Danio rerio: one gene and its partners. The protein of the gene in region 2 purifies or fractionates together with the protein of the main gene of each other region. This does not show direct contact. Links are inferred from orthologs where the notes say so. Each region holds a gene or a part of one and is shown on either strand. Other genes may lie near its edges.

Region 1 (7,609 bases), on a different chromosome or scaffold from region 2:
TAAAGGCTAATTTATACTTCTGCGTCAACCGTACGCTATGGCGCAGCCTACGCAAGGACGCATCACCCTCGCTGTGACCGTCGGCAACGCTGACGCACACCTCTCAAAAAATGTAACTATGCGTCACAATTACGCGTAGCGCAAGCTCTGTGATTGGTCTGCTTGGTAGCAATGACGAGTGTGGGCGGAGTTGAGAGCCGCGCAAGCTTGATGCAGCAAGTGATGATTAGAGTTGTTGCAGATCCGCCGAATCCAGCCTCAAAATGAGCGAGTTTGAGCCACTTGCACATTTTAGGAAGCCTTCATAAAAAACTAAACACCAACAAAGAAACTCGACACAGAGAAACAAACACCTACTACCAGCTAGCATTTCGGAAGTGTTATTGCAGAGAAGCACATGCAGCGTGCTGAAGTATAAATGCATGGCTACATGACGTACACACCAATCACTTGACGCAGATGTATAAACCAGGCTTAAATCCTTGCATATGGTGAACATTTTGCTGTGAAAACTGGTCGCACGACAACAATTTTATGCACTTGTGCGAATGCTCCCAAAAATATTTTTAGGTTGCATAAATAAAATTTCAGGCGCATATGCGATATAAGACATTCCCCAATGTGAAAAAGTTTATCTGACGTGGTCAAAGACAAAAGTGACGCATGTGGTGGTCAGGAGGATAGTGAGAGAGGTAAAACAGGATCACCACCAAGACTGTCTTGATGAATCTGGGCTCTGATGGCAACATCTCAAGGCAGACCGTCCAATGGACTCTGCATATCAAAGAGGACTCTACTTCTCTAGAGAAGGCACACAAAGCCTATTTGGCCTTTGCAAATGCTCATTTGGACAAAGAAGACTTCTGGTGTTCTTTTTTGTGATCATTCATTGATTTTCTTTTTGGCTTAGTCCCTTTATTAATCGGGGAATGAACCCCCAACTTATCCCGCTTATGTTTTACGCAGCAGATGCCAATTCCAGCTGCAACCCATCACTGGAAAACACCCATACACTCTTATTCACACACACAGACTATGGACAATTTAGTCTACGCAAGTCGCTTATACCACATGTCTTTGGAAAACCGGAATACCCGGAGCAAACCCACGCAAACATGGGGAGAACATGCAAACTCCACACAGAAATGCCAACTGACCCAGCCAGGACTTGAACCAGTGACCTTCTTGCTGTGGGGTGATTGTGCTACCCACTGTGACGCTGTTTTAAGAACAGATGAAACAAAAACTAAATGGTTGTTTACAAAGATGTAACCTTAATTTGACTTAAAAAAAAAAAGGAGAAGCCGTCAACCTGAAGAACACTATCCCCACTGTCAAACATGGTAGTGGAGACCTTGTTTAGGGCTGTTTTTCAGCCAATGCACCAAGCAAGCTAATCATAGTAAATGACACCTTGAAAAAGGAGCAGTACATCAGAATACCTGAAGGAAGTCTGCAGAGATACTTGTCCTTCGGCACCAGTGGACATTTCAGTTAACAATGACCAAAACACACAGCAAACGTGATGAAGAAATGGTTAACAGACAAAAACATTCATGCTTTGCTGTGGCCCAGCCAAAGTCCTGACTTAAATTCAATTGAGAATCTGTGGAGGGAGCTAAAGATCATGGTGATGGCAAGGATACGCTATAACCTGAAGTGAGTAAAGAAGCTCATCAAGATGAATGGATAAAACTACTAGTCGAGACATGAAAAAGATGATATGCTATAATAGGAAGCGTTTGGTTGCTGTAATGGCCAATAAAGGATTTTCTATTGATTATGGAGAAAAGTATAAATAATTTTGGACTTTTTGTTTAAATGTGAATAAAAGCTGAGCTAAATTAAAATATAGCTATTGTTGTTGAATAATGCTGTCAGTGGTATGTACAGATCTGCTGTGTGAGCTACACTGATGGTGTGGGGGTGTGATTTATATGCTAGAGACGAGTAAAAAACAAGAATATAACTGCAAACCTGTACGCTGCTGCTTTTCACAAATCTTCATTACTGCCTTTTACCTGAAAGCCTACATTAACTACAGCATAAAGCAGCACAGGTTTGTTGTATGCTCATGCTAACGGTTTTGGTTACATAGTCAATCTTTTTTTTTTGTTGAAAACATGATCATTTTACAACTCCACTAGACTTAAAGATTTGAGTTTCATCATTTCTGAATCCATTCAGCTGATCTCAGGTTCAGACAAAAGCACTTTAGCTTAGCTAAGCTTATGTCATTGTATCAGATTAGACCATTAGCATCTCGCTTAACAATGACTAAGGAGTTTAGATAATTTTTCTTTTTATAGTTTGACTTTTCTGTAGTTTGCTGATTCCAGCATTATGGATGTGACATCTGCTGAAAAAAAAAAAAAGAAATTTATATATACTCCGAGAAAGTATATGTCACCAGTATATTGAAATATCTATTTCTTTTTTTCTAATCCCTCAACTGTGGAGTTCAGGCATAAATAAAATCAAACTAGCTTAATAAAACCACTAATTTATCCAGCACAGATTTTGCACAGCGAATGCCCTTCCAGCTGCAACCTCTCTGGGAAACATCTATAAAATTCACACTCATGCACTACGGACAATTTAGCTAACCCAATTCACCTGTACCGCATGTCTTTGGACTGTGGGGGAAACCGTGGCACCCGGAGGATACCCACGCGAACGTAGGGAGAACATGCTGACTCCACTCAGAAATGCCAATTGACCCAGCCGAGGCTCGAACCAGCTTGCTGTGAGGAGACAGCACGATGCACTGCGTTGCCCAGGTTGCACAATTAATCACACACAATTCTCGTTATAGCATATGGATATTATATAATGTAAGTCAGTAATTAATGCAGCATCATAAACCATTGGCACAATCCTTATATTTCATGGATAAACCAAGCAATTTCCTTAAATCAACAAGAGCACATCATAAAAATAAAATATAGACCTTATATATATATATATATATATATATATATATATATATATATATATATATATATAGAGAGAGAGAGCTTATTTAAATTGGTTTTGTTATTTTGGTCAAAAGTTTATTTTTTTCATGAGAAGGTTGACATTTTCATGGAATTGCTCAGTTACATTTCGCAAAAATCTCTGGTTACAAGAGTTTAAGGCACTGCATAATAGTATTGTGCTGCTGCAAGCATGCTACGATTGCAGATTTCGTTGATTATTGCATCAGAATACGAGTTTAGTTCAAGTCATATTGACCTAGAAAATAGCAGTAAATTTTCCATCATTCTTAGTAAGTAATATGGATACAGAGGAGTCATGCTTTAAGGAGGATTGATTAAATTAATTTATTAATTCATTTTCTTTTCGGCTTAGTCCCTTTATTAATCTGGGGTCACCACAGCGAATGAACCGCCAACTTGTTCAGCATATGTTATACACAGCGCATGCCCTTCCAGCTGCAACCAATCACTGGGAAACATCCACACACACTCATTCACACACCTACACTACTGACAATTTAGCCTACTTAATTCACCTATACCCTTTGTTTTTGGTACTGTTGAGAAAACCAGAGCACCCGAAGGAAACCCACGCCAATACGGGGAGAACATGCAAACTCTACACAGAAATGGCAACTGGCCGAGCCAGGGCTCGAACCAGCAACCTTCTTGCTGTGAGGCAAACGTGGAAGCTAAAAGATCTTGTGTCAGACCCAGAAATTGATTCATAAAACTCTAGAGTTTAACACTAGGGGAGTTGTAAAATTAGCGTTCCTTTAATTTTGTAACTATTGTTGGTAGAGCTGTGAACCTACACTAGTCTCACGGTTCGGTTCGGTTACGATTATCATGCCATCGATTCGGTTCAATTCGATATTTCGGTGCATCACGGTGCATTGACGGTGCTTTTCATACACAGTTTTATATTTTCTTCACAGAAGCATTTCTTGTATTAAAATGTATGAATATATTTATATTTATATACTATTTGTAAGACAATTTTGTCATTTAGTACAGTCAGATATATAAACTGTAACTTTAAACAAAACGAGCATTTAGCAAATTATATTAACAAATATAAATATCCAGCTCAATTTCTGATCCTTGTCTAGTTCTCTTACACCAGGCATGTCCAAACTCGGTCCTGTCGTTTCTGTATGCAAAAGTAACGCTGTACAACAGCCGAGAAGAGAAGAAAAGCCATGCCAGCAGGTCAAATGGGCCACTGTGTGTGTGTGTGAGAAAGAGAGAGAGAGAGAAATGGAGTAGGCTACTTTCATTCTCTCCATCTCAGTGAAATAGGGGCTATTGTTGTATATGTCAGTGAAAGACTGATCCAGCAAACACACACAGTGAAAGTGTGCACAGTTTATGAGTTTTAAGTTGTTAAAGCGCTGTAAATACTCGCGATCGCCTCTCTTGCGACAGAGCGCATATGAGGTAAATGACATCAGTAATAACCGGTTATGATTATTACTGAACCGATACCGAATTGTCCGCGTCTGCATCGCAGTGCACCGCAGAAACGATTAATTTTGACACCCCTAATTGTTGTTGGTGTTATGGTGGACTCTAGATGACGATTGAGGCCAATTTGTATGTGTTTTCTCTCTCTTCTCGTCCACAACTTACTGGAAAAGGAATGGTTTGTGGTTCCTCTCCCTTAGTCTCTTTTCCGTCAACATATTTGCCTGTCATGAGTATGGTCAGTGAGAGCCTAAAATAAAGCTTGTGGAATGGCAGGCCTTTAGTTAACCATTGCTCTAAGAATGTCATTGGCGGCTCGATCACAGAAATCCAGAGCTAAACCTGTTATTTGCTGACAGATGTATGAGGTTTGAATCTGAAGCATATTTCCTTCTGTCTGTTTGTCTCAGGCTCAGGTGGCATTTCTGCAGGGTGAAAGGAAAGGTCAGGAGAACATGAAGCAGGATCTGGTGCGGAGAATTAAGATGCTGGAATACGCACTCAAACAGGAGAGGTGAAACCACACACAGACACACACACACAAACTTACACAGATGAGTCTCTGCCGCTCATAGTATAATCACAGAACTCTCCAGATTTTTGTTTTAGTCTGTTTTTGTTTTGATCTGTTGTTTTATTTTTGTTTTGCTTTTCTGTTGTGTTTTTTAGTTTTTTGTTGTTTTTTTTTCATCATTTGAATTGTTGTTCATTTTTGTTGTTGAAGTTTTAGTTTGTTTTATTTTTTTGCTTTAGTTTGTTTTATTTTTTTTTGTTTTGTTTTCAATTGTTTATTTAAAAATGTTGTTTAATTGATCTGTTTTTGTTTTGTTCTTGCGTGTTTTCTTTTTCTTTTTTTGTTTGTTTAATTTATATTGTTTGCTTGTGTTTTTGTTTTGTTCTCTTGCATATTTTCTTTTTAGTTTTTTTCTTTTTCTTTTTGTTTGTTTAATTTTTATTGTTTGTTTGTTGTGTTTTTGTTATGTTTTAGTGCATTTTATTTTACTGTTTTAGTTTGTTTTATGTTTATTATTGTTTGTTTAATTTGTATTTTGTGTGTGTTCTGTTTTTGTTTTGTTCTCTAGTGGTTTGTTTATTTTATTGTTCTTTTTTATATTTTTTGTAGTTTAATTTAGTTTGTCTCATTTTTCTTTTTAGTTTATTTTCTTTTGATTTATTCATTTGTTTCTGTTTTGTTCCCTTGCAGTTGTTTGCTTTTTTGTTTTCTTTCATTTATTTATTTATTTTTCTTTTTTGTTTTTTTGTTTTTGTTTTGTTCCCTTTTTCTTTTTTTATTGTTTGTTTTTTCTTTTTTTATTGTTTGTTTTTTCTCTTGTGTTTTTGTTAATTTTCTTTTTTAAAGTTTGTTATGCTTTATATTTTTTATTTTATTAGATTTTTTGTTTTAGTTTGTTTTATTTTTATTTATTTAAAAAACAGTTTTGTTTTTGTTTTATTTAGTTCCTTTTTTGGATTTTATTTTTATATATATTTTTTTTTCATTTTTCTGTTTTTGTTTTGTTTTCTTCTGGTTTTGTTTGTTTAATTTTTCCTATTTGTTGTTTGTTCTGTTTTTGCTTTGTCCAGTTGTTTTTTGTTTAGCTTTTTATATATTTTTATCTGTTGTGTTTTTATTATTATTATTATTATTATTATTATTATTATTAATAAAATTTTTTAATATTAAATTTTTTTTGTTATTTGACAATTTTGAACTTTAATGTATAAAAAATACAGTGTTATGTCTGCAATGCGGACCAATGGCTCAGTCGACAGTATTATTTTTAATTCCCACTGATATACAAGTTTAGATCTCCAGAAGGAATCTCAAGATCTCAAGAATCTTTTAGCTCCCCTGCTTTTTTACAGTTTGTTTGTGTGTGTTTTTGTTTTGTTTTGGTATGTTTATTTACTTTTTTTTTTTTGCTATTTTTGTCTGTTTCTCATTTCGCTTTTTAGTTTTTATTTTAATTAAATATTGCTTTAAATAATTTTATTACTAATACTTTTATTTTAATTGCCATTGGACAAAACATTTAAAGATCATCTTACTTGGGAGATAAGGCTGACAAATTAATAAAAAAATATAATAAATAATATACAATAAGTATGGAATAAATGTATATTTATATCCATTCTTACAAGTATAGTGTGCTCTACTTCTATAAAAATCCCAATGATTTACAAATTGCTATTTGTACTCTGTTTGGTCCACTTTTCCCTTTCATATTCTCCTTTATATATCCACTTTCTCTATATAATGGCCACAAAATCCTTAAGTATCAATTAAATGTGAACAATTAAAAACATGTGCAATAAATGCTTTTCTCTACTGGTCATTTTGATCACAGGGCCAAACACCAGAAGCTGAAAAGTGGCACTGACCAGAGTCCTGGAGAGAAGAAACCAGAGACAGAAGCTGAACCAAGTAAAAACACAATCAAAGCTATTTAAAACAATCAAATGACAAAATCTGATGGATATTTATCAAAACATAAGAACATAAAGCCAGTAAAACAAACGCTGTATGGTTAGATGTTACAACACTCTTTTTTTCAGTACCCAATGGGCCTGCAAATTCAGACTCTGAACCGACCAATCAGATGCCTTGGAAGGAGGGACGCCAGTTATTGCGCAAGTCTGTGTGTTTTCTGTGCATTCATTCTCAAAAGTGGTTATTATCTTGTGTTGACCCTGTGTGCGTAATTGTAATCAGGTATCTGGAGGAGGTGGGATACTCCGACACTATTCTGGACATGCGATCCAAACGCGTTCGCTCTCTGTTGGGTCGAAACAGCCCGGAGGCGAATGGGCCTCCTTCCAGCGAACCCACCACAGAACCAGAGCCGCATGTAGGAGTAGGAGGAGGAGGAGAGTCACTGCTGGTGCGGCAGATTGAGGAGCAGATCAAACGGTTAGCACAACACACATTTGCACAGCTGTAGAAATGAGGTCCAGTGAGAGTCTGTGTACAGATGAAGCCAGATTTAAAGGGATGGAACACAAAAAATTCTGTCATTATTTACTCCAGATTTAAAGGGATAGACACAGACATATACATATAGTATGTAACTGCTTTTACATAAGTTATTAGTAACTAATAAAGTTATGGTAACTAATAACCTTAACTTCTCTGATTTTAAATGTTATGCAATAATACACAACTT
Region 2 (7,609 bases):
CTTGCTGTTGCACAGAATGAAGCTTTTAGTGAAGAAGTTATTTTTCCTTAATATCTTAGTGTTTTTGAAGGCGAGGCAAGTTTATTTATATAGCACATTTCATACACAGTGGCAATTCAAAGTGCTTTACATAAACAGGAATAAAAGAGACGAGTATGAATGAAATAAAAAACAAATAATATAAAAACAGATGAAAACAGCGTAAAGTTTTTCCATATTCCAAAATACTGGTGTATCATATTTTCTCATTTTACTCTGGGACTTATTTTACTCTGGGACTCACCATTCTGGTGATCCTCTCCCCTCTCCCCGTGGACCCTTTTTGGTACCTATTAATCGATTGGATGTCTCCAACAGATTTGATTTTTCACCTGGAATCGAAAAGTTAAGCTTTACAGCTCTAATTACGTAAAAGGTATTGATCTCAGCCAGATGCCAGGGACTTTAACCCCTACCTGCAAAAATTATCTGTGGCAAGGATCTAACTTGTTGTAATTACGCTGCTACTTTCTTTTAGTAGAAATATCTAAACATCAAGATCTGTTTACCTAAGAAGCAAAATTAGACATCTTGTTAATTTCAAAACTGAGTTTGTGCTTCTCAAAATACAAGAAAATATTTTCTTTTTCAAATAATATTTCAAAATTTTTTAGAAATGTGATTTAAATAATAATAATAATAATAATAATAAAAATAGCTGAACAAAATTTTTGAAATCCAATGCAATGTTATAAATTGCTCTGACATCTCATTCTATATGCGTTATGACTGATAAGATTATATTATAAACATGTACTGTTGACAAACATTAAAACAGTCTCGAATATCATAAAAAGTTAAATTAGTGGAAATAAAAACTTGATAAATTCTTGAGAGTTTAAATTTGGACTTGAATTGAGTTGAATAAGTCTAGAATAAATGCTTTGCATAGTTTTGATGTGAAACTGAAATTTCAGCTGATTAAAATGTTTGCAACTGTCGATAATTTTGATAAATTTGATTTATTCGTTGTGAATTAACCCGATCCTGATTTATTTTCTCGATTAGGAAAAAAATAAATAAATAAAAAATATATTTAGAGAGAGATAGATATAGATACACACACACACACACACACACACACACAGTTGAAGTCAGAATTATTAGACCCCCTAAATTATTATTAGTCCCCCTGTTTATTTTGTTCCCCAATTTTTATTTAATGGAGAGCAAATTTTTTCATTCATTCATTCATTCATTTTCTTGTCGGCTTGGTCCCTTTATTAATCTGGGGTCGCCACAGCGGAATGAATCACCAACTTATCCAGCAAGTTTTTACACAGCGGATACCCTTCCAGCTGCAACCCATCTCTGGGAAACATCCACACACACTCTCATACACTACGGACAATTTAGCCAACCCAATTCACCTGTACCACATGTCTTTGGACTGTGGGGGAAACCAGAGCACCCGGAGGAAACCCACGCGAAGGCAGGGAGAACATGCAAACTCCACACAGAACCGCCAACTGAGCCGAGGTTCGAACCAGCGACCTTCTTGCTGTGAGGCGAACGTGCTACCCACTGCGCCACTGCCTCGCCCTGCACCGATAATGTAGATTTTAATTAGTTTAACAACAAAACACAAGTAAATAGCGCATTTCCGCCTAGTCTCGTCCTATATTGTTTGCCATGCATCTTTAAATATTCGCTCTTAAATAGCATGTCAGTTTGGCTTGCACGCCAGCGAACAAGCACTAGTCGCATTTAACACAGACGGCAGAGGAGGGACTGTGATTCAGGGATTTATGCTAAGCTGTTATCATTGTGGAAGATCACCTACTGCACCTTTAATGTTTTTTTTTATTTTTAAATCGTTCCAATTTTTAATGTTGGAATGTTCTAAATGAATAGGGCATAGGGGGATAACTGGGAATAGAACACAGCCAGGAACTGTGCTTCTAACTACAGCTTTAAAGGTGCAGCTTCAAGTGTACAAGTTTGCAACGCAGGTTACGAATGTTCGTTGGAGTGATGGATTTGGGAAACGCCAAATCAAGGAACTATGTTTGTAATGACAGAACTTGAGAGCTTAGTTGGCTAACGATGGTTTTCAGAAACACACCCCAGAATTGTTGTCAGTGATTTGCATGACACCACCACCAAATGAAGATATGCATGTTTTGCAAGATTGCTCTGTCTGTAAAACATATCTTATTGGACTGTCCCACTTTTTATTTTTGTAGAAATATAACTTGTTTTATCATATTTGATATAGTTTTTCTGAATTGTTTTTATCCTGAAAATAGCCCGAGATGCCGACTTGCCGTTAGATGAAAACATATGCTACAACACATTAAATAAAAGAACAACGACCCAATATGAAGTTCCTGTGTTTTCCTGTGTTTAGTACATGGAGGAGAACACCGAGTATCAAGAGCTGTCCAGATACAAGCCTCACGTCCTGCTGAGCCAGGAGAACACCCAAATCAAAGAGCTCCAGCAGGAGAACAGAGGCAAGACTTCTTCACAGCGTCTCTGCTTTTGTAAGGTGAATGGCTGACTGAAGTGTGTTTATGCTGTTCACAGAGCTCTGGCTCTCTCTGGAGGAGCACCAGTACGCCTTGGAGCTGATCATGGGCCGATACCGCAAGCAGATGCTGCAGATGATGATGGAGAAGAAAGAGCTGGACACCAAACCTGTGCTCAGTCTTCACCAGAATCATGCCAAGGTGCCAGTCTGTTGGTGTTTTTAAATGTTTGGAGACTTCGCTCTTTTTAAAAGTTTTGTTGGCTTCTTATATAATGTCTGTAGGAAACTATGCATATAAGTTATGCACATATAGTTAGTTGTTTATATATTCTGAGAGTGACGGAAGATGAACTTAATTGCATGATTGTTAATGCTTCCTAAAATGGGTGGAGCTAAACTGTTTGGACACCTTTTGCTTGTTTGCAACTCTCTGATTGGTAGAATTTTATTTGGAGCATATTGTTACAAATTAAATTAAAAATCCTTAATCATAAAGAGGTTTAAGCAAAACATTGCAAGATAACAGGGATTAAAAATATACTCCCTGGTGCCCTCGCGCTCTCTCCCCACCAAAAAATAAACCAAAAACACAACCACTGAGAATTAACAAGAAAATATTATTTATTTACAGAAAATAAGAAGCAAAAATAACATCAGGTGGGGTTCAGCCAAAATAAATGACAATAAACCAAACTAACTAAATTAGAGAAAACTTCCCTGGAAATAAATAAGAAAATAAAATACAGAAAATTTAACTCCCTACTTACAACACAGGAGAAAACGAAAATAATAAATAGAAGCCATCAAACCTCCCTACCATGCTCCAAGCCAGACAGGGAGACAGAAAACCCGGGTTTCTCCAATTAGAATGTACAACTTCACATTGCTATCTCACAAAAATGCCATATAAGAGACATCAGCAACAAACACTCATATTTATCACTCAAGCAATAATATCTACACAGAGAATAACAAGCGGGGAATAGAGAGAGAGAGAGAGAGAGAGAGAGCGGGGAGCTGCTGAATCAATGCTCTCTGAGGTTTAAATAAGAAATACAGCCACCGCCAACCAGGATCTGACGTAATCCGCTTCACCTGCCAATACTTCGAAATGAGAGAGAGAGAGAGAGAGAGAGAGAAACACCACACACACACACACGCACACACACACACACACACACACACACACTACACCACCACAACAACTACTCGTAACACCTTCCCACCAAAAAGATGCAAACAAGCAGTTTGTATCTACCCACCTAACTCAAACCTCAACTTCAGCACCATAAACTCTGGACAGCGCATCTGCAACCACATTTTGCAAACCTTTCTTGTGCCGTATATCCAAATTAAATTCCTGGACATCCAAAGACCATCTCATTAATCGCTGGTTTGAATTGTGCATCCTAAAAAAAACAAGAGGATTATGATGGGTGCACACGAATACACACAAATTGGGAACGAACTTCCACCCAAGTAAACCCCAAAATGTTGCAATGCTAAAAGCAGTGCTAAAGCCTCCTTTTCGATCGTACTATATCTGCGTTGACATGCAACTTTTTTGAGAAATAGCACTTTCCTGAACCAGAACTGCTCCAGCCCCAGTAGCAGAAGCATCCACTTCCAATTTAAAGGGACGCTCCAAGTCCGGTGCTGAAAGAATAGGAGCGTTACACAGCAAATCTTTTGCTGCTCGAAAAGCCTGATCACATAAAGCAGACCACACAAAAACTCTTTCAGTGCTCAAAAGATCAGTTAGTGGGGACACTAACTGTTTTGCATCAACTGGACACACATGTCCCTGACCTACCTTTTTTCCTAAGTACACAACTGTGGCTTTGGCAAATTCACAATTGGCTAAATCTAGGTATAAACTGAAATAAAACAAAGAGATCGTTTCAAGAAAAACGTTCCATCAATTAACAACCAATAACAAGTCTGATTTTAAAGGTTTATTCCTCGAAAACAGTTGCTCTATGGAGAAATGAAAGAAGTTGGGAACTCACCGGTTGTGTTTTATGAACTGTTTTATTTCAAATTGTCTTTGTGTTCATACGTAAATCAAGCAAAATGAACCTAAAATAAGTCTGGTTTTTTTCCAGGAGGTTCAAAGCCAGTTGGGACGGATCTGTGAAATGGGTCAAGTAATGCGTCAAGCCGTACAGATGGATGACCAGCACTATTGCTCTGTGAAAGAGCGACTGGCACAGCTTGAGGTAACAGCTCTGTTTTGCTATTTTAAAGGTTTCTAATTTAGTTTTCTAGCTCTCCTACAGTGGGTTTACATCCATTCAGGCCAGGGTCAAACATTTTCTTATAGTATCCATTGCAATATCGACTCATTTTCATTGGTTCAAAGATCCTCGCCTTACTGAGAACTTTCTCTACTCAGATTGTCCAGATGGCTCAGTTGTCTGTAATTGGTTGACCAATCAGGATTGCATGATTTTCAAAGTAGTCGTATCACAGATGTTTTCACACTGCTGGGCTAGCGTTTCGTCGCTGCTTTGTTTACACTGCAAGATGGATCGGTGACAGGGGTTTTCACATTGCATGACTTTACTATAGGAAGAATCGCCGACAACTTCATTCAAACTACGTCTCACAGTAGTATATCTTTTGTTATTAACTACATAATGAGAAAGAAGCCTTTAATGGGGTAGAAAATGTACATATTTGCTCACCTGGGTTTGAAGGGAATTAGCCATTTCTCCTCAACGTTGATAATAAACTAATTTCTTTCTGTATGAAACGTCAAACAGACACGGTTGCTCCTGAGTCCTGTCAAACCTCAACTAGTTTTTCCTCCATTTCGTGGGTCCAAATAAACCGAAAAAGAGCGCTTTTAACTTCTCCCCCAGCCTCCCGCTGGCCTGCTGCAGGTACACACACGCACACACAAGTGAATGCCGCTCTCTCATTGGCTGTAGGCGATCGCTGATGTTATTTTCAGTAAAAACTCAATTCACACGGAATGATTTGATTCGCAGACAGCTCCAGATATTCAGCACGCCAAATATCTCACAGGCATCGGCGACTCATCGGCGATTCTTTCAGATTGCGTCTTTGATAGTTCATACTGTGTGATTGTCACTCACAGCACCGATTTGCCTGTGATTTCAGGCATTTGTCTGCGATTTCTCAAAACCTGTCGGCGAGCCAAAATCGGGGCTGAAATCACACAGTCTGAACTAGGCATTACACTAGAGTATGTTTGTAATAAAAGTCTTATGACGCATAAGTTTTGTTATGATTACAAGTAGCATCCACACTACTCCAGCAACTTTGACCAATGGAAATGCAGTGTTTTGAAGGAAGAAAATTAGGTAGGTGATCATGTTGGAAGTTACCTAGATGGGGACTATTTTCAGGTGCTGCATAATGTCATTGTGTCTGCTGGAGCCAAAGTATGGCAGCTCTTTGATTATTACAACAGAATGAGAGTATAGTCCTTGGTTATAAAAGGCTAAAAAAAAATGATTTTTTTTTTTCTGTTAATCTTAGTCCATGATAGAACTACAGAAAAAAATCAAGGTTTGAATTGCAAAATTATCAAAACTCTTCAGTCAATTTTAAGTGAGATGCTTACGGTCTAATCCAATTCAATGATCTATGCTAAGCTACTCTAAAAGGGCTCCCAGCAGACCCAGAAATCAGCTAAATGGATTAAAAAATGGTAAAACTCTTTAAAACATCAATGACGTCAAATAGAGCCATGAAAAAAAAACTTTCTAAAGACTAGAAGCAATAAGGAAGTAGATCTGTTCAATTAAGAAAGTTTCACTTTTGATTTTGGCCTCCACCGACTATGAAAAACAATTATCAAAATAAAAAAAGATTATCATGTCATATTAGATTTATTCATGCTTTTTTCTTTAAATAATAGTTTGAAGCATACACTAAACTGACACCGCTAAGGGTGTCAAAATGATTTGGCCTATGCACTATGTCGCTGTAGAATAATATTGCAAATGGGGCGAGGGCGAGTTAATAAACCACTCCAACTACTTACAGGGTTCGTACGGGTTCTGGAAATCTTGGAAAATGCTTGATTTTTAATAGTGTTTTTTAATAGTGACTTTTAAAAGTGCTTGAATTTGAAATTGCAGGGCTCGAAATTTGTTTACCAGATTTAGGAGATTTAGGTTCACACAGAATGCATATTTGCACATAAAAACGCCAAACGCAGTGCTCAGGAATAGTTTAAAACAGTTGACATGTCAACTTGCAGCAGTAAACAAAGCCTGCAATGCCTGTAAAAATACTAAATATAAGATATAAGATATTTTGAATAAAGTAATATTGATGAAAGATGACAAATTATGGTTTCCAAACAGTTGACATAGGAACAGTTCATTAATTTGCAGCAAGAATATTATATTCTACATTAGGGATTTAAGTTGTTGTTACAGGAATTTTGAATAGCAATGCACATGAAGTTGGAAAAGGTGTAAGAACCCTGTACATATATCACGTGTTTTATTTCAGTCAGTTTATCAGTGACTGTTAAAATTACAGTTTAAGTTTTCATTTATTTGTTAATTTTTAATTTTATTAATTTTAGTTATCTTTTTTTTTTTGTTATATATTTTTAACAGTTTTAATCTTAGTTGCTCAATAAATGAGCTATCTATCCATCTATCTATCTATCTGTCTATCTGTCTATCTATCCATCCATTCATCCATCCATCCATCCATCCATCCATCCATCCATCCATCCATCCATCCATCCATCCATCCATCTATCTATCTATCTATCTATCTATCTATCTATCTATCTATCTACAGTTGAAGTCAGAATTATTCGCCCCCCTTTGATTTTTTTTTCTTTTTTTTTTATATTTCCCAAATGATGTTTAACAGAGCAAGGAAATTTTCACAGTATGTCTGATAATATTTTTTCTTCTGGAAAAAGTCTTATCTGTTTTATTTCGGCTAGAATAAAAGCAGTTTTTAATTTTATAAAAGCCATTTTAAGGACAAAATTATTAGCCCCTTTAAGCTATTTTTTTTCCCGACAGTCTACAGAACAAACCACTACACAATAACTTGCTTAGTTACCCTAACCTACCTAGTTAACCTTATTAACCTAGT
Region 3 (7,609 bases), on a different chromosome or scaffold from region 2:
AGTTACCCGGACATGTATGACTTAACAAATTTTAAATATCACAATATTATTAAATATTGCTATTATAGCAATATCAACAGCAACACTCGAGCACAATACGCAGCTGATTCAGTCATAAAAAGTGCACAGCACTTCTTTTTTTTGTTGTCAACTGAAAAAGGCAGTGCTGTGCACCTCACGTTTTCAGAACAGAAAAGTGCACTTGTTGTGACCCTAAAAAAGACAAAAACTGGATTAGATAGAAAATCCCAAACAAATTAGAACTTTAAGGACATTTACTTGACAAACCTCATGATTTCCAACATCTGAACAATGTCTTTCAGGTGTGATATCCATAGTATACGTAAAATAATAGACTTAGACCTTTTGAATTTACAAAATAACGCATGTAAAAAATTATGTAGAAAGTAATGTGCAATAATTATAATCTAATAAAAGCCTGTTGTCAATTATTCCTTACTTAAATCATTACTTGCTAGTGACTAACATTAATCAATCTTAATAACATATGTAAACAGGGATTGAGCAACTGTTTTGTGGATATTACCTTTGTTTTTAAACACGGACATCCCAGAAAAAGTTTTATATTTCATGCACTTCTTCATACCTCTAATTAGTAATTTAGAGTTGTCAAGTTTCAGAATGTAGTAAGTCGAGTTAACCTTCAATTTTTTTGGCATATTTACAAGGTTAATTTTTTTTGTCCGTTTTTCACAATTTTTTCTGATCATTCAGATGGCCTTGAAGAAGCTTTAATACATTAAATGTAAAAAGCAATATAAATCTAAAGCATTTCTGTCATTTTTTAAATCATAAAATGTGTTCGGGGATTGTTTTAGCCACCTCAAAAATGAAAATTCTGTCATTTACACACCTTTATGTTGGTAAAAAAACAAACAAACTGTATGTCGTTATCTAGAATGGATGATATTTTGAGAAATGTTTTATTGTTTTGTTTTTTATATACTATAAAAGCTAAAGGGATCTAATATTGTTTTGATTCTAATGTTCTTAAATATAATATAATATAATGTAATATAATATAATATAATATAATATAATATAATATAATATAATATAATATAATATAACATAACATAACATAATAATATAAAATAATAGAATAGAATAGAATATTTTTTTGAAAAATAAAGAAAAACATACTATTAAGAAATGACTTAAGGGTGAATTATTGACGCCAAATTAATAATTTTTAAGCAGACAATTGTATGAAATGTAAATGTGAAAGTAATTTTAGCAGTCTTACGAGTCAGATTCATCAGAACTGGACTCTGCTCTCGACTGTTCGGCTTTCCATCGCTTGTATTTGTCGATGAGCTCCGTCAGGTAGGATGTTTTCTTCGCAAAGCGCACAATGAGCTTGTGTTTGAGCAACTCTTTGGCTGTCGGTCTCTGAGGAAGAAGACAGAAAGACACAGAAACCATCACGACAGGTCCTATGAAACAAAACCTCATTGCTAATGCCTGATTCAACAGTACCTCAAGGATTTTAAAATGATCTTTTTTATTTTTATTTTTTAGTTTTGCAATACTTGCAGCAAATTTTACACCACTTCTATTATTGCTTTGAGGTGAAAATATATACAAACTTACTCCTCTTAATTTTTTGACCTCAAGAAAATTGATCTCTTTAATTTATATAAAGGAAAACTAGAGGTTACCCATAAATCCTGCTGTATCATATTTAAAAATGAAACCAGTTGTTTGAAGTGTCATCCATGTTGTTTGACCGATATGACAGTTGATGGAAATTATGCAGAGAATGCATGCTTATGTGTGTGTACGTGAGAGAGAAAAAGAGAGAGGGCTACGCTTATGACGATTATATACAATAAATAGAAGTTTATGAATCCGCTTTGCCATAACGTCACATGACGCAGATCACACATCAAAGGAAGAGTGTGTATGTGACAACTCAAGGCTTTACACAGCACACAAGCACATTGTGTTCGCAAATACTGTTTTCGTTTTCTTTTTGTACTTTTTTATTTATTGGTATTTAACAAGACCATGCACGGTGCAGAATACGAAATTATAGAGCGTCTTAGTTTAAACCGACTCTTACTTTCCCATAAAACTAGATATTATAATACATATACTTCAGAATAATTAAGAAATGACAGAAACCAATCATACCTTCCCACTACTATACAAAAAAAGAATTAAAACATTCACACAATTACTTCATGTTGTCCCAACACAAACCGATCAATTTAACTTAATTGATTAAACTAATTTAAGTGGATTGAACGTAAAAAAAATTAAGTTGTCCCCCAAAAAAAACTCAAGAATTGTGATGTTTCAGTTTGTTTTAAATAAGTTGTTTGAACAAGCAGCAAAATTTACTTTGTGTAACGTTTTTCAATGTACAACTATGCAGATTGCGCACTGTGGTGTGACAGGAATTCAAACACTGTGCTGACCGCTCAAAATAAGAGAAATCTACGACTATGTTGTGAAATTTTGTGACATTTTGCGTTAAATTCAGAATTCGCTGGGATCGCGAAATCCTGGAGGGTCTGTTTCAGGAACAAATATAGCACATGTCTAAATGAAAATGACCTCAGCAGCAAAAACAGAACAAATTGTTTTGCCAGAAAGATCAGTGAACGAGTTAAAAAGGATATGGAAAATGACCTCTGGGAGTCCCCAAAAAACATACTCACAAAACTGGGCTCTTTGTTTAGACAGGCCTCCACAAACTCTTTGAGCGGTTTGCAGTAGTTGCCCTCCAGTGTGGGGGGGTTGTTCTTTGGAATGAGGAACAGCACCTTCATTGGATGTAGGTCGGAGTGGGGGGGCTCTCCTTTAGCCAGCTCAATCGCCGTGATGCCCAATGACCAAATATCAGCCTGAGAACAAACACAACGTTTTCATGACCAGGGCCCGGATGCATGTTAAAGACCCCATGAAATAAAAAAAAGTTGTTTTTTTAGGTGTTAGTATTAGTATTGCTAGTTTTTAGGATATCTATAAGCTAGTGCGCAGTTAATCAGTGACAAAATTCGTGTTTAGAAGATACAAAACTGACATATACATGTAAAGCTTGTAGTTCGTCACTTCTGCCTAAATGAATCAACGGATTTATTCATGTTACCTCATACTTTAGTTTCTTATTAAATCTTGACCAATCAAATGATCTCTAGTATCTGACATGCCCCGCCCCCTTCAAGACGCTTCTCATTTGCTTTTCATTTGATCAGCTTGATCCCAACCACTTTCACTGGCAGCGCTGTGATGAAAACAAAATGCTATTGGCTGTTTTTTTTTATAAAAGGGAGGAGCTACCCCATGTCTCAGTCCCACCCTCTCTCTTTATGTGTCAGTTGAGATTACATCAAACATCGAATAAAATTGCACATTTTAAAGCACTTCACGGGTTCTCTAAGGACTTTCATGCAACCAGACCCAGTCCACTTCCAAGTCACTTGATGAAATCACATCACAATGATTCACTTGGGGAAAAATCTAACAAGTAGTCACGATCAACAGCAGATCCAGACGTCTGGTGCAGTGACTGATCTGCAGCACAGCCCTTGACTTTTGTTCAGTGGCTCTCACCTTTGAATCATAAGCGGACTGTTTGATGACCTCAGGTGCCATCCAGAAGGGTGTGCCCACGAAAGTGTTCCGCTTGATCTGTGTGTCCGTGAGCTGACCGGCCACACCGAAATCTGCCAGCTTCACCTCCCCTTGCTCCGACAATAATACATTTGCGGCTAAAAAAAAGAAATGAGAAAAGACAGTGTGAGGGAGAGTGTATGATAACTTCAGAAATGCAACATTTATGTCAAACTGGGGCCCCAAATGGGGTGCATAGAAAATAGGGGTGTAACGGATCACGGTTTATCACTGTTTGTTTAGCCTGCAATTATGCATTCAGTGTAAAGCTGCAAGATTAAACATTTAAAGATCGTGATCTCAATTCAACCCCACGCAACATGTATGATAAATGGTGATGATTTGCATGTTTGTTCCTTCGAAAGGGCTGCATTCAAATCTGTGTTTGATCGAGAGAGATACTGTTCTTACCCTTTTTCAGTTCGTTACAAAATTAAATAACACAATAGTACTGAGAGAACAGTTTATAGTTCAGATATAAACACACTGATGTTTATGGTAAAGATAAAAATCACAGTTTGATGGAACTTGACGCTAGTGAATGTTGTAGCAATTACACTCTGTTACCACCGGGTGGCGATAAACAACCTTTAAAACTATAGCACTGAATAGGTTTCCAAAAATGATAACCTGCATATGGCTATTTATTTAAATGGATAACATCGTATGTTATCAACTTATTGTATTATTGTACACATTTGCTTTACTAAAAAAAATGTAATATATTTTTATGTCGTTTTAATTTGATGTTTTTCCCTTCACAGTATTAATCATTTAAAAAAATTACAACTGTAAAGTTGTAAAATCTGATACATGCAAATAATACAGCCACTAGGGATGTAACGATTCATTGTGAGCAGGTTAAAAATTTATTCAAATATGGGACGATTGAAACCGGTTAAAATGTTAAAAGAATCGCAATACATATTTGAACATAGGGGGCGCTGTGTTATAATATAATATAAATGGAAAGCAAATGACATTTGTCCCTTTTTTTGCTGATCCGAAAAATGGTTCAATCAGTGACTCAAAAACCGTAGTGTAAATAAAATTAAATAATTGGTGATTCAAACCAGTAGAAATGTTGAACAAATCGCGATACATTTTTTCTAACAGAGGGGGCACTTTGTTATAATATAATATAAATGGAAAGCAAATGACATTTCTTCAACTTAGAATTATAAGGTTCTATCTGCGTTCTGAATGATTTTGAGATATTGAGCTTCAAAGTTTTTGCATTTCATAGCAAACAGTAAGTGTGTAACATTGTTTTTTTTAAATTAAAAAATGTTCAAATGTAAACAACTTATTTACATTATGGGATGTTTTTTTATAAGAATATGTCAATAACTCAATTTTGTTAAAAATGTCAGATAGAGCCTTATAATTCTAAGGTGACTATTTGGGTCTCTAAACCGAAAACAATTCAGTGACTCAAAATCCGCAGTGTAAATCGATTTAAATATGCAACGATTTAAACCGGAAATGTTGAACGAATCGTGATACATTTTTTGAAGAGAGGGGGCGCTGTGTTAAAATATAATATAAATGGAAAGCAAATGACGTGTGTCTGCTTTTTTGCTGAACCGAAAAATAGTATGATTCATAACTCAAAAAACGTAATGTAAATAGATTTAAATATGTGACAATTCAAACCGATAGAAATGTTGAACGAATCCCAATACATTTTTTAAACAGAGGGGGCGCTGTGTTATAATATAAATGGAAAGCAAATGACATGTGTGTCTCCTTTTATGCTGAACTGAAAAATAGTCCAATACATGGCTCGAAAACCGTAGTGTAAATCGATTTAAATATGTGACAATTCAAAACGGTAGAAATGTTGAACAGGAAAATTTAAACCCTAGTCCCATGCACATACACTGTAGAAAGAAAAAGAGGAAGACAAACACTGTAGCAATTTCCAGTTGAATCATGTCACGAAGACGCTGTGCTCTGAAGTGTGAGGGAAAGTTTCTCTACCCAAAGATGAGGCTGTGAAAAGTGAGTGGCTGAAGATTATTTTTGCAAGAATACCTCAGCATTATAGCCCCAGCCCTGTGCATTTTTCTAACGAGTGCTTTAGCAGTCTACACCCTTACAACGGGGGATTCATCAGCCGTTGGTTAAAGGAAGGATCCGAAAAGACTATTGATGTGTGGGACTTTGTCAGAGCTTGAAAGGAACTTTACAGTACACAGTTCATGGATCGGTTTCTTTTTTTTTTTTTTCAGATTGTTGGTTTAGTGTTTCAACTTTCAAGATTCATTTGTGTTTGTTTGTTTTCTCTCTAGTTCTTACTGTGATTCATGACACTATATTGTGTAATAGTTCTAAGGTATGTGACCAATAAATGAATCGTGAACCATCAGTAAAAGAGTCAATCATCTTTTAACCAGGATACTACAGTACACATTTGCTTTACTAATATATATATATATATATATATATATATATATATATATATATATATATATATATATATATATATATATATATATATATATATATATATATATATAAATAAAATATATATATATATATATATATATATATATATATATATATATATATAAAATAAATAAATATATATATATATATATAAATAAATATATATATATATATATATATATATATATATATATATATAAATAAATATATATATATATATATATAAATAAATATATATATATATATATATATATATATATATATATATATATATGAATGAATGAATAAATGAATGAATGAATGAATGAATATATATATATATATATATATATATATATATATATATATATATATATATATATATATATTTATATATATATATTAGTAAAGCAAATGTGTACTGTAGTATCCTGGTTAAAAGATGATTGACTCTTTTACTGATGGTTCACGATTTTACGAACTTTACATTTTAAAATCTGATATATGCAAATAATAAAGTCACATAACAGATTACAAACAAATCATAGAAGCTGAATAACACCAAGGCAAATATCTGGTGTCAAAATATGTCTGAATAAATTAAATCTTCTTCTGTCTATCTGGACCAACAAACATTCAAGTCACAGCAGATATGTGCTTTTTCATTGGACTCTGAATAAAACTGACCGACCAGTAAGATTTGGTTGCACAGATCTGCTAATGTTACATAAAACCGCAACTTCAAAGTGCTCCATTTTGCTAAGCGACAGTAAACGGCAGTGGAAGAATCCATAATTGGCTCTCATCTCTGTGCTCTTGCATTTCCCGTTATTTGATCACGGTGAAATTAAATAAAATCTGAACGGCTGTATGAAAAGATGTAAATACTGTTAGTGCTCATTTCTAAACGATGCAGGTGACAGATCTGACTGTTGAACAGTACTTTGTGTAGCACAGAATCTAGCATAACAGCTGTATTTATTATGTAGTTTTTTACGCGTTGTTATAAGTAAACTAATCAAGTGCAAACTGGATATCATTCTTATGTTGAACAAGTGTTTGTAAACATGTCTCAATAACCTTGCTATCAAAATCTAAAAAATGCTCTAAAGTAGCTTTATTATGCTTTGTAAACCTTCAGCTTCCTATGAGCTTGAAAAGGTTACAAAGCATATCACAATGTCCACTCTAAACTGGGCTTACTTTTACATGTGAACCATGCTAGCAAAATGAGCAGAAAACATGCCGACTATAAGCTAAGATCAAAATAAAAAAAATATGTCAACTGTGGTAGTTGTTTTTACAAAAAAAATAAAAATAACTAAGCCCCTATAAAATCCTTTATATTTGCACGTCTTCTGACAGTGTGCAACATGCACTTTTGAATAAATTAAGCATCACAGTCTGGTTCTTGTTCAAACACTAAAAATAAACATGAGAAATCTACACAAATTTATGGAATTCACTAGATGTTTTGAGAAAATTTTTACTGCATAAGTTCATTAAAAACAATCTGAATTTGAAGCGCATCACATAC

What was found. The genes of interacting proteins can lie anywhere in the genome.
Region 1: the proteins of sike1 (region 2) and strn4 purify together in Homo sapiens (affinity purification with mass spectrometry; 3 studies listed by BioGRID and IntAct, with this or other methods). This does not show direct contact. The link is inferred for Danio rerio from reciprocal best matches to the Homo sapiens genes SIKE1 and STRN4.
Region 3: the proteins of sike1 (region 2) and stk24b purify together in Homo sapiens (affinity purification with mass spectrometry; 4 studies listed by BioGRID and IntAct, with this or other methods). This does not show direct contact. The link is inferred for Danio rerio from reciprocal best matches to the Homo sapiens genes SIKE1 and STK24.

What each region holds. Positions count from the first base shown.
Region 1 is NC_133190.1:13,759,807-13,767,415, forward strand, and holds part of strn4 (striatin-4), read left to right. Parts: intron 1-4,855; coding exon 4,856-4,959; intron 4,960-6,793; coding exon 6,794-6,870; intron 6,871-7,001; coding exon 7,002-7,080; intron 7,081-7,158; coding exon 7,159-7,356; intron 7,357-7,609. UniProt on the Homo sapiens protein: Calmodulin-binding scaffolding protein which is the center of the striatin-interacting phosphatase and kinase (STRIPAK) complexes.
Region 2 is NC_133198.1:43,062,764-43,070,372, reverse strand, and holds part of sike1 (suppressor of IKBKE 1), read left to right. Parts: intron 1-2,389; coding exon 2,390-2,495; intron 2,496-2,568; coding exon 2,569-2,711; intron 2,712-4,617; coding exon 4,618-4,731; intron 4,732-7,609.
Region 3 is NC_133181.1:13,497,528-13,505,136, reverse strand, and holds part of stk24b (serine/threonine-protein kinase 24), read right to left. Parts: intron 3,741-7,609; coding exon 3,583-3,740; intron 2,874-3,582; coding exon 2,688-2,873; intron 1,414-2,687; coding exon 1,268-1,413; intron 1-1,267. UniProt on the Homo sapiens protein: Serine/threonine-protein kinase that acts on both serine and threonine residues and promotes apoptosis in response to stress stimuli and caspase activation.